2 linked regions of the Arabidopsis thaliana genome follow. Changing the gene in region 1 together with any one later gene gives a genetic interaction. Each region holds a gene or a part of one and is shown on either strand. Other genes may lie near its edges. The genes, in order: CDKC2 and AT5G45190.

What was found.
Region 2: of CDKC2 (region 1) and AT5G45190, changing one enhances a phenotype caused by changing the other (phenotypic enhancement), as found in Arabidopsis thaliana (one study listed by BioGRID).

Annotation. Positions count from the first base shown.
Region 1 is NC_003076.8:25,953,296-25,959,503, forward strand, and holds CDKC2 (cyclin dependent kinase group C2), read left to right. Parts: upstream 1-2,078; 5' UTR 2,079-2,201; coding exon 2,202-2,314; intron 2,315-2,710; coding exon 2,711-2,792; exon of another isoform or gene 2,793-2,854; coding exon of another isoform or gene 2,855-2,890; coding exon 2,891-2,981; intron 2,982-3,086; coding exon 3,087-3,116; intron 3,117-3,229; coding exon 3,230-3,339; intron 3,340-3,430; coding exon 3,431-3,503; intron 3,504-3,585; coding exon 3,586-3,706; intron 3,707-3,813; coding exon 3,814-3,931; intron 3,932-4,029; coding exon 4,030-4,169; intron 4,170-4,262; coding exon 4,263-4,320; intron 4,321-4,403; coding exon 4,404-4,474; intron 4,475-4,597; coding exon 4,598-5,132; 3' UTR 5,133-5,510; coding exon of another isoform or gene 5,511-5,588; 3' UTR 5,589-5,596; intron 5,597-5,671; downstream 5,672-6,208. Other genes in the region: ATH13 (ABC2 homolog 13), read left to right, coding at 1-31; AT5G64950 (Mitochondrial transcription termination factor family protein), read left to right, coding at 592-1,767; AT5G64970 (Mitochondrial substrate carrier family protein), read right to left, coding at 5,511-5,588, 5,678-6,145.
Region 2 is NC_003076.8:18,277,091-18,283,614, reverse strand, and holds AT5G45190 (Cyclin family protein), read left to right. Parts: upstream 1-1,740; 5' UTR 1,741-1,897; intron 1,898-2,849; 5' UTR 2,850-2,881; coding exon 2,882-3,106; coding exon of another isoform or gene 3,107-3,108; intron 3,109-3,171; coding exon 3,172-3,195; intron 3,196-3,297; coding exon 3,298-3,315; intron 3,316-3,536; coding exon of another isoform or gene 3,537-3,543; coding exon 3,544-3,618; intron 3,619-3,958; coding exon 3,959-4,093; intron 4,094-4,319; coding exon 4,320-4,495; intron 4,496-4,584; coding exon 4,585-4,736; intron 4,737-4,839; coding exon 4,840-5,807; 3' UTR 5,808-5,995; downstream 5,996-6,524.

The sequences.
Region 1 (6,208 bases):
ACGGGAAAAACTAATCACTGGAACAGCTTAAGAACTTGCTTGGTATGTCATGATTTATCACCTCTTGATGTTTACAAGTTACATTATCAGACTCAAATTCTCACACTCATTTTTTGGCTTAATTTGTACAGAAGAAATGTATTAAAGCTTCTTCAATCTCCATAAACCCTTTTGTGCATTTCACAGGAGTGTTAACAATTTCACTGGTCTGCAAATAAAATTATCTTATGGAAGCTTGAGAGGCAAGAGATGGTCAACTAGTCAAACCACCACCACTCTCTCATCTCTGTCTTCTTAAAGTTCGATAATAATTTTTGGAGAGGAGACTCTGGTTGTTCATCAACAGAGTGGTCATGAGCCACATGTATTGCTTGTGTATAGAGAGATTTAGAAATTAGGAACTTTTTCGTATAAATATACTCATTGTACTCAGCTACTCACTAGACTCATCTCTGTTTTAGTAATATTTTGAATACTGTATCTCAAATAAATTAATCTTATCAAATAGAAACCATAGTTGAAAAGTCATGAATGATTCTTAACTGTACAAAATAATAAGCTTTGGTAAAACCCTAAACTTTCGTTTCCAAGATGCAATTTCTAGCTTCTCTCGTTTCCAATTCCAGAAAGTTTGGTCGGAGATGGGATCGAGCTCTCTCGTTGCATCATTTCTCTTCGAATGCGACACCAGCTTCGATATCAAATCCAGCGTTCGTCGAGTTTCTCAGGGACAATGGGTTCCAGAAACCTCTAGCAATTGCCATCGCAATGCGTTACCCTAACCTCAAATCCCTAGAACAACCTCGGTCAGTGATTCAAATGCTTAAAAGTTACAGTTTTTCCGATACCCAGATCCAGAAATCGATCCGGGTCCATCCTCGAATGATGTTCTACAACGTGGAGAAAATTCTAGAACCCAAACTTCGATTCTTTAAAGATATTGGATTTACTGGCTCTGGTCTTGGTAAGTTCGTCTCTCAAAACTCATCAGTCGTTGGTGTAAGTCTAGTGAAGAAATTGATTCCTACCGTTGAGATTCTGAAATCGATTGTTGCCCCAAAACATGAAGACCTTCCTGTCATTCTTAGTAGATGTGGTTGGCTTCTTCTCAGTAGAGACCCTAACTTGTTTCTCTTACCAAACATCTCATACCTTGAAACCTGTGGAATTGTTGGGTCTCAGCTTGCTTCTTTACTTAGAAGACAGCCAAGAATCTTCAATCTCTCTGAGGAAAAACTCAGAGGATATGTCTCTCGTGCTTTGGATCTTGGTTTTACTTTGAACTCGAGGATGCTTGTGCACGCTGTTATCTCGTTAAGTTCTTTGAGCGAGAAAACGTTTGATCGAAAGGTTAAGTTGTTTATGGCTAATGGATTCTCTGAAGATGAGATAACAGATATTATACGAAGATCTCCAGGTTTGATCCGGTGCTCAGAAGATAAGCTTACACTGGGGTTTGAGTTTTACTTGAAGAGAATGGGGTTAGAGAGGGAAGCTTTGGCGAAACGTCCTTGTGTGTTGTCGTATAATCTTGAGAAGAGGGTGATTCCTAGGCTTAAAGTTTTGCAGATCTTGAGGGAAAAAGGGTTGTTGTTAAAAGAGGAGAAGAAGAAGAAGAACATGGTTGGCATTGTTGAGATGACTGAGGAAGCTTTTCTAGAGAAATATGTTGTGAGATTTGGAGATGAGATTGCTGAGGAACTGCTGGTTGCTTACAAGTGCGTGTGTTTAGTCGATGAAACGCTACTTGATCGTATCAAGATCTAATTGTAGATTTCACAAGTCCAAACTTGAAATTTTGTCATTGTATCCAAACTTCGCTCATCCGTAACTGTGTTGAACATTATAATTTGGAAGTAACTCTTAAATCACCCTTTATTACGAGCTTGAAGCTTCTCATATAATAATGGGATTCATATGAAGCGATTCTTTTTCTATTTCAGCACTTGAGCAAAAACTCAAGATTGTCAAAGCGTCTTAAAAATTTGACTCATGAATTTAACCGGTTTGATTTTGGTTCGTTGTAATAACCGGTTTAAACCAGAGATTGATTCCGGATAAAAAAGCTTAGGTTTTTCCGCGAAGCCGACACTGTAAGGTAGGGCTAAAACCTTAGAATAGCCGGAGAGAAGAAGGCGAGAAGAGGAGCGACAAGGGCGAAGCTGCAGAATTCTTCGGTAATTTTCAGATTCGGTTGAATAATGGCGGCTGCGGCTTTTGGGCAGTTAAATCTAGAGGAGCCTCCACCGATTTGGGGATCTCGTAGTGTCGATTGCTTCGAGAAGCTTGAACAGATTGGTGAAGGAACTTACGGGTATTCTTCTCCATTCTTTTTTTTTCTGGGTTTTGTTCCTTGATTCCAATTTATTTGGTTTTGTCAGAGTACTCGTGCTCAAGACTGAAATTTCTCAAATTTGAACGATTTCGCTAGGGCCACTTGATATATAAGTTTTTTTGAAACAATTTTGATTGTGAAACGTTTATATATAGTTATTGATCCATATATTGTTGATTTGAGGAATTTTAACTTTGCCTCTTATCTCAATAAATTCGATTTTGTTGATTGAATTTGGGAATTCTCAGATTCTTGGTATGGTAGATATATATATATATATATATATATATATATATATATATATGTTGCAATAAACTTCTGAAGCTGTCTCTTTTGATGGTGTTTAGATTCATATATTAAAATTTGGTTTTGCAGCCAAGTGTACATGGCTAAAGAAATTAAAACTGGTGAAATCGTGGCTCTGAAAAAGATCCGTATGGACAATGAAAGAGAAGGGGTAAGCTACATTTGAACTACCAGTACTAGCTTTGACAAGTTGCAAATTTTTGTGAGTTTCGTATGACTTATATTTCCGTTTTCATTGTTTGCATGGAGTTTCCGATAACCGCTATCCGGGAGATCAAAATTCTGAAGAAGCTGCATCATGAAAATGTCATCCATTTGAAAGAGATTGTTACTTCTCCAGGTAATAAGGAACTCTTATCTTAGCTTGTAATTGCTTTAGAAATTTTGTCAAAAGGGGTGTTAAGTTTGATATGTAGAGTTTTGTGACTGTTTTTGTCTTTAAAAGGTCGAGATAGGGATGATCAAGGAAAGCCAGGTTAGTGAAACTTATTCAAGATCGAAATATTTTCTGTACAACTTAGATGCGACTATGAGAGATCTATTTAAACTGCTTACGGCCTAAAGCTTGTTGCTTTTCTTCAATTTTAGATAATAACAAATACAAGGGTGGAATCTACATGGTCTTTGAGTACATGGATCATGACTTGACTGGACTTGCTGATCGTCCTGGACTGAGATTTACGGTTCCTCAGATAAAGGTATTGCATGGCTAGACACCTTGTTGTAGTAGCCTTTGCAAAAACCCTTATTGTTCCGACTTTGTCTGACATTTGAACATATGTAAAAAAGTGTTACATGAAGCAACTGCTGACTGGGCTTCACTATTGTCATGTGAATCAAGTGCTTCACCGTGATATAAAAGGTGAATATATCCCAAAATACATTGTTGACCATTTTGTTCTCTTGTCTTTATTTGCTAGTTAACCTATAATATATTGGTGCAGGTTCGAATCTACTTATTGACAATGAGGGAAATTTAAAGCTAGCGGATTTTGGGCTTGCTCGGTCATATTCTCATGATCATACTGGAAACCTCACAAATCGTGTCATCACTTTGTGGTATAGGTATGTATGCCTACAAACTTTGAAGTTATATACAAAAAAGTGACAAAGAATAAGTATTGCTTATACGTGCAGCTTTTTCTCTACTTATGCATTGTTTATTGCTGTAGGCCCCCTGAATTGTTACTTGGTGCAACTAAATATGGACCAGCGATTGACATGTGGTCAGTTGGATGCATATTTGCTGAACTTTTGAATGGAAAACCAATCTTGCCTGGGAAAACTGAGGTCAGGATTTCATCTTATGATTATCGTGGTGTGTGTTATTACAGTGTTCTTTGATGATGTTTCCACTTAGCGTTTTAGTCATATTTTTTTCTTTCCAGAATGAACAATTGAATAAGATTTATGAGCTTTGTGGATCACCTGATGAAAGCAACTGGCCTGGAGTTTCCAAGATGCCTTGGTATAACCAAATGAAATCATCTCGGCCCTTAAAGAGACGCGTAAGGGAGATCTACAGACAGTAAGTATAAACCATTATGTAGTTGCGACTCTTTTATGCAACAGTTACTTTGATCCAGGAGATCTCATTTGGTCCTTTTCTCTTCTGCTATAGCTTTGATCGCCATGCCCTTGAACTACTTGAGAAAATGTTGGTACTTGACCCATCTCAGGTACCAAAGAATTTTTAATACAGAGAATTAAGAGCCTTGGTCTAGACATTTAAGTCCTTTCATTTTCCTGTCTGTTGGTACAGAGAATATGCGCAAAGGATGCTCTTGATGCTGAGTACTTTTGGACTGATCCGCTGCCATGTGATCCAAAGAGGTAATCAAATTCTCTTAACTTTCTTGTTATGAAAACCCATTTGGTTCATCATACATCACAAATGACGATCAAGAACAATTAGTGAGTGATTCAGCTTGTACTGAAACTGTGTTATGTCAACAGTCTACCGACATATGAATCATCACATGAGTTCCAGACAAAGAAAAAACGGCAACAGATGCGTCATAATGAGGAAGCAGCCAAAAAACAGAAACTGCAGCATCCACAGCAGCAACATTCTCGTTTACCTCCACAGCAACACGGTGTTGGCCAGTCTCATGCCGCTCCACTTTGGCCTGCTGGACCAAACCACCCTATGAACAACAACGCACCACCACCCCAAATACCTGCTGGTGGCCATTACTATGGAGGAAAGCCCCGTGGTGGTGCACCTGTTCCAAACCGGTACCCTCCTAGCGGAAACCAGACTGGTGGTTATAATAATCAGAGCCGTGGAGGTTACAGCAGCGGAGCATATCCTCCACAAGGTCGTGGTGCACCATATGGCGCCGGTCCTAGAGGACCTAGCGGTGGCTATGGTGTTGGACCACCCAACTACTCACAAGGTGGTGGTCAGTATGGTGGATCTGGTGGCTCTGGAAGAGGTCAGAACCCTATGGGTGGTGCTAGAAACCAACAATATGGATGGCAACCGTAAAGAGAACTCAAAGAGACTCGTATGGTGTGGTCTTGGCTTGATGTCTTTAAGGCAGTTGTGATTTTAGATATGAAGACTTATCTTCGCGAAAGAGAATCTATTTTCATTTGATTTCTTGTCTTAATGGCATTCTTCCAAACATTCTGTGATTGTTGTATGTTTAAATCAAGGTTTATATATCAGAACACAGGAAACCAAATTGGATTTTTACCCAAATCTTATTATTTCTTGCAAAAAAACGTTTCACAACCTCTTATCTGTTTTCGATGAAGTGTGGAAAAACTACACGAATCAGTGTAAACCCCAAAAAGAAAACGAAAAAACTCTCCTCTGAAGCAGCTCCAGCAGTAATTGTGTCATTTCTCATTGCTTATTGTCTTATGCGGATGATTCTACTTTCAGAACAACTTTCATGAACTCGTAAACAAAGTAACTGATTGCCGCGGAAGGCAAAACCTGCAATAGTGAGATAATTCACAAAGCTGTAAAACCTGCAATAAGCTGGTTCAAGAGATTAATTTATGACTAGTATTAAGGAATCAAACCTGCAATAAGCTGGGAATCAAGCCAGCATATAGAGCAGGAACACCTCCTTGTTCAATGATCTTCACACAAGTAGCCACTGCGCTTAACCTTTTAGCATGTGACTGCATTTGTAAACGCCTTCTCACAACTTCAAACGGATATGTTGCTGCTTCTGAGCAAGCCCCTGCGATTGCTCCATATAACAAAGTTCTCATGGGACCAAGCTCGAGTTGATCGAAAGCATTAAGTTCTTCACCTTCTTGCTTCATGTGTTCAAGCCGTTTCTTACCTTCCGGTGTATGAAGGTAAGCTGATTTTAAAATATCATAGACACCGTAGAACACAGCTCCCGATGGAGCCATACTAACAAGTGAAGGTACAAGACCTTTGTATAGGGAAAAGAAACCTTCAGTTTGAATCATGTGACGGAATGCACCAACTACACCACCTAATGCTTCTCCACCGGGTGCCACCATAACCGTTCTTATCTGCAATTCAAAACCAAAGTAATGCTAAAGAACCTCCAGAGAATGGTAAAAGAAGCTCAATGA
Region 2 (6,524 bases), 7.7 Mb from region 1:
CCCTGAAACAGAGCACTTTAGGCTAGGTTTCCTACTTTGTTTCTAGCAATCGATTGCTTCGTGGGTAGGTTTTCAAAATCAAAACCTAATATTCACTTTCTTTGGGAATCTCGCGAGTTAATTTACAAGATCACATGTCTCAATGTATCGTAGGGTTTCTGTGTTTTTTTTTTTTTTTTTTCTTTTTCCTGTTGGGAAGGGTTTCTTGTTTTTTTTGCTAAGCTTATTATTTTTCTTTCTAATTTAATTTAGGATCCTTTAATTTATAAAGATAAAAAAAAATTAAATTGTTTGTTATGGAGTGTTTATCTAAATTAGTTTATAATGGTATAGATAAATATGAAAAAATAAAGATACTTATAAATTTAAAGAAGAAAAAAAAGAAAAACTTTAATATAATATTAGATATCCACATATTATTCAGATTTTACTAGGTTTTTTCGAGTTTACCCACTAAACCCGAAACCTATCGGATTTTTTGTGGGCATATTAAATTCGGGTTCGAGTCGGATTAGTTATATTTTGTCAAAAATGTATAATTGTTTGCAAAATGTAACCAAATTTAATTAATTGAAACCATTTTTATTAAAATTGAACAACTTGTAGGTTTTTTCCGACCATTCCAAATCTTACACCTACCCGAACCGAATAATCATAAAACCCCAATGGATAATAGTCTCTTCTTCTACCAGAAATATCCAAATCCAAAAAAAATCAAATCTGATCAAAGTTTCTAAAGCATAAGCCTAGACACAACTTCAATGAATTTCATAAATTTTAAGAAATTATATTTACATTGATATAATCTAATTCTTTTTTTTAAAGCATAAGCCTAGACACAACTTCAATGAATTTCATAAATTTTAAGAAATTATATTTACATTGATATAATCTAATTCTTTTTTTTAAACTACTAAAATATACATATTTATTAGTTTGAAAAATGAAAAATTGAAAAATGAGTGTGGGGCACGTGCCTCACCTCTCCTCTACCTACATCTGCCCCATGTTATAACTCTAATCTCAATATTCTCTCTAAATATTTTTAAATAACGTAATTTTTTTTGTTGTTTACTAAATAACTACTACAGTATACTATGTGATTTAAACTATAAATATTGCTAACTTGTCATAAATGTTTTACACAAACATATATATACTTAATTCTCATTCATCTTCGATACTATTGAATATTTTATTATAATCTTTATCTATACATCTCACCATTTTATATGTTTAGTTGACATCCAAATTTTGGAGTTATTTTAACAAAACAAAAGAAAAAAACAAAACTTTTGACAAAATACACAAAAAAAACATATTTGAAGAAATTTTTATATTTTTTCAAAAGCTTTAGTAGATAATTAAAATTTAATTTGTGATATATGTATATATTGTGATTTACGTATATCGCGGTCATTTTGAGTTAACAACTTTAAAAAATTTACTTTAAATAATAAAAATTATAAAGTCGCATTTTTATAACCTAGGCCTATATAAAATATAATAAGCTTTTAATATTTATTTTATCTCTTGATTTCTAATTCCTAATAACTGTTTCCTATTTTCTTTTTCTTTTTCTTTTTTTTTCCGTCGATTTTCTTTTTGTTCTTATCACATTTCAAAAAACAAATGTTAAAGATATCAATAAAGACGATTAGTGATTAGCTTATGAATTTATTTATATTCTTTTAATGTGAAAAAAGGGAAAGAAGTGAATCTGGTCTCAGCTTTTAATATCACAACTCTTTAGAATACTTCCTATCCCCTTTTTCTTCTTCTTCCCTCTTTCGTTTTCTCGCGACTCTCTAGGGTTAGGGTTTGTTGATTTTCACGCGTTATTCTTCATCTTCTTCTGCAATTCGCAACTAGAGAAGCTAATTCCATTGAAGTTAAGGTAAAGTATCCATCTTTTTGTTTCCCTCCCTCGTTCAATTACTGTCTTAAATTCTCGTTGATTTCCTTTATCCTCTCGATTTGGGTATTCTTTTTTGTCCACCGTCAAGTGAATCTCTCAACGAATTTTTCCATCTTCCGGTTAATTTCTATAGAAACCCTTTGGATCTGTTTTTTTCCTGCTCAATTACTAATTTTCTAGGTATCGTTTCGTGTTTTGAGAAAATTTTGGGATTTTGATCGAATGTATCTAATTGGTGATGAATTTTTAGCCTAATCAAGTTGTTACCACAAGTTCGATTCCATGATTTGCAATTCGTAAAGGTTCATCCTTTGCATGATTCATGTTCATAGCTTGTAGAAGATTTATCCCCTTTGACTCTCGTTTTAGACTATGTGGTTATGTTTCCTTGAAGCCATGTCACTAGTCTCTTCCCCGTTGTGCCCTTCCGTGTAGCTAATTTCTTATTCAAAGCCAAAGTTCGAATGCGGGTATAAAAAACATAGCTATCTACTTTTTCTGATGATCTCTTATCCTATCTAGTGTCGAGTATCAGACTTATTACCATTGTAAAGAGATGCCCCATTTTGGTCCGCTGCTTTTGCTAGGTTGCACAGATTGTTATAAAGTGAAGCAAATTTTGGTTCTTTGCTGTCATTTTGCTACTCTGCTTTACGACACTAATCATGAATCAGTATCTCCCCCTTTGTGCCCTTCTGTGTACTGTTAGAAACCTCAGTTGATTCCTGTTCTTAGAGTTTTCTAAATGCTTATAAGATTATCTGTTATTCAAAGATACGGTTTTAATGCAATTACAAAGATCATAGCTTCGTTTGTTGGGGAATCGATCTGGTTTTTCTTATGTTCTCTTTAATTGTCCTTTCTAGTGTTGAGTTTCAGGCTTATTATTATTTGTAAAGTGATGCACATTTTGGTTCTCTGCTTTTGTTAGGTGGGGATAATTTTTGGTTTTAGAAGATACTAATGGCTGGAGTACTAGCTGGGGAATGTTCTTACAGTGAGAGTGGAGTTTCATCACACTCAAGGAATTCCCATGAAAAGCAAGAAGAGGTTTCCCGCTGGTATTTTGGAAGAAAAGAAATAGAAGAGAATTCACCGTCAAGGTTGGATGGTATTGACTTAAAGAAGGAAACATACCTCCGCAAATCCTACTGTACATTTTTGCAGGACTTGGGCATGAGATTGAAAGTGTAAGTTCTCTATCACCTCATCTTAGATTTCTTTCTGTGCATTGTTCCTTTAACTGCTTCAAGTTGGCTTGGTTTCTTGACATTATAGTTCGTCCAATCCGTCCCATCATCATTGTGGACAGATAATAGTTACCCCTTTACATATAGGTTTCGTTTAATTGGAATTTGATGTGCTGCTGATGGTTTTAGGCATACGTTTGTACTGATGTTAGTTCTAGCACCTTTAAACGGAAAGTTGTAGAAGTTGTGTTTATTTTATCTCAATTTTTCTTTCTTTGGCATGAATACAAGGAAGAGACAGTTATTAGTGGTGAAGACATAACTGCCACACTGTCTTAATTTTGCTTTTGTAGTCATGGTTTCTGCATTGTTCAGAGATTTCAATTTTTGGCTCTCTTGGAAAGTCGCTGATATAGTTTTCCAATCAGTCCCCAGGTTACAATAGCTACAGCGATAATCTTCTGTCATCGATTCTTCTTTCGCCAATCACATGCAAAGAATGACAGAAGGGTGAGTTTATTGTTTTGCACCTGAACAAGTTGAATGCTTAAAAAAAAATGACTCTATTCTGTGTTGTTTGAACCACTATGCTGTAGTCTGGCTAGTATTTAAGGTATTGAAATGTATTGGTTTTATATATAGTGGATCCATCTCCTTGCCATTTTTCATGGTATTTATAGAGAGCTCATTATTGTAGTTTCATTTATAGTTTCGCTACCACTTTGATTTAGATTTTTCTTTTTTACTTATTCTATGCAGAATTAGTGAATTGTGATTGTTGTTATTTCTTCTAGAGCGGAAAAAAATACTCGGATCTTTACTGAGCTCTCTCTTCATGTTGTTTCTGCAGACCATTGCAACTGTATGCATGTTCCTTGCTGGAAAGGTTGAGGAAACTCCACGGCCCTTGAAAGATGTTATTTTTGTCTCCTATGAGATTATAAACAAGAAGGATCCTGGTGCTTCCCAGAAAATCAAGCAAAAGGTATTCCATCTTACTACTGAATCTTCCTAATTTCTCACCTCTGTTTTACTAGTTATAGATGAACGTATCATTTTTTCCCCATATCTTTTGTTTTATTTGACATTGAGGTTTTAGTATTAGCTACAGACTTTGCTTCGTTGTTTTGTAGAACCATGGTCCTTTGGTCCTGATTTATTGTCTGTTGGTCAGCATATCAAAATGTATTTGACCTATATCACTTTTTCAGGAAGTATATGAGCAACAAAAAGAGCTTATATTAAACGGAGAAAAAATTGTTCTTTCCACTCTAGGCTTTGACCTCAATGTTTATCATCCTTATAAACCCCTGGTAGAAGCAATAAAGAAATTTAAGGTTGCACAGAATGCACTTGCCCAAGTTGCATGGAATTTTGTTAATGATGGGTACGTTCAAGAACTATTTCCTTCTAAAGCTTCCAATAATTCTATGTGCCTTGTATTTTCGTCTTCATACAATGAAAAGTGGCTTGCAGTCTACGGACATCTCTCTGCCTGCAATTTAAGCCTCATCATATTGCGGCTGGTGCAATATTTCTTGCGGCCAAGTTCCTTAAAGTGAAGTTACCATCAGATGGAGAGAAGGTTTGGTGGCAAGAATTTGATGTCACACCCAGACAACTGGAGGGTATGTACAATATGAATTGACTTGACAATTCTTGTTTCCTTGTTTGACTTCCATTCCCTTTTTCTTTATGATTTCAAGAGTAATCGTCTTTTGTATATCTCAGATGTTAGCAACCAAATGCTTGAGCTTTATGAGCAAAATCGTGTCCCTGCATCTCAAGGAAGTGAAGTCGAGAGTAGTGTAGGTGGAGGGTCAGCTCAGCGACCAGGCTCCAGAAATGCGGTTTCAACCGATGAGCATGTTGGTTCTAGGCAAACGTCATCAGTACGTTCAACCCATGAACAATCAAATTCTGATAATCATGGGGGTTCATCCAAAGGAGTATTGAATCAGAACAATGAGAATGGGGGTGGTGAGGCAGCTAATGTCAGTGTCGATAACAAAGAGGAGATAGAGAGAGAAACAAAAGAAAGCAGCCTACATCTTGAAAGCCATCCAGCCCATAAGGACAATGTGAGAGAAGCCCCCCATAACTCTAGACCTTTAGTTGAGGGACCTGGGAAAGACAACTCAGAAAGAGAGGGTGGAGAGCTACAAGATGATGGTGCTGTTCATAAATCTCGAAATGTTGATGTGGGTGATGCCCTAATCAGCCAATCGCCAAAAGATTTGAAATTGCTTCGAGATAAGGTGAAGGCTAAACGAGAGAAAGCTAAGAAGTTGCTAGGTGAAAGAACGAGGAAAAAGGATTTGATGGATGAGGATGATTTGATTGAAAGAGAACTGGAAGATGTGCAACTAGCTGTTGAGGATGAAAAGACGAAGGAAAGGAAAGTACAGAGCAGGCCAAAGGCGGAGAACTCTGATCTCATGGGTACAGAACATGGTGAGATTTTAGATGTTAAAGGAGAAGTCAAAAATACAGAGGAAGGTGAAATGGTAAACAACAATGTGTCCCCGATGATGCATAGCAGAAAGAGAAAAATGGGAAGCCCTCCTGAAAAGCAGTCAGAAGGAAAGAGACGCCACAATAGTGAGAATGGGGAAGAAAGCCATAAGACGAGCAGAGGTAGTAGCCATCATGGTGATAGAGAGCACAGAAGACACTCACAAGAGAATAACCATTCATAAGAGAGGTAATGATTATTAAAACTGCTACTCTTTGTATTCCATCTAAATGGTCTTTTTAAAAGACCTTTGGCACTTCGATGCCCAACCATGTGAACTTGACTTCTACATGGGTCGGTTCAGTCGTTGGAACCATGCTCTCTGTATTTTATGTTGATTATATATCTATTCGTGGCATTTTTGCACAATCCAACGACTTGAACTAGGACTCATCATCCTAAAAGGATGTTGAGAAGCTAATTAGGTGTTTCTTCCTGTAACCACTCCATGCTAGGGTTCTTTAATTATGCATAATTACCTGCTTTTTTCCATCTAATCTAAACCGGGCTAAGGTTTGATTCTGCTTGGCAACTTCATAGTCACATTTACTTCGTTTCCTTATATTGATGCGCATTGTGAAAAAGTTTCCTCTAGTACGGTAAAATTAGTGTCAGGTCATAGGAAGTAATGTATAGGTTGTGGTTAAGTCCACTTGATAACTTCTTTGTTACTGTACATTGTTGAATTGAGTTTACTTTTGATGCCAAAATATTGTTACGACCAATGTTTTCTTAAGTTATATATGATGTAAAAGAGAGAAACCTTTGTATTGTACGGTATCAAAATGAACTATATGTACTTTTAAGTCTGTCAGATTTTGTTTTCTTCGAAAAGTGATATTTTGTATGACCTATCGGAGAAGTGCCATCTGATTCGGAAGCATAAATACAAAGAAAGCAT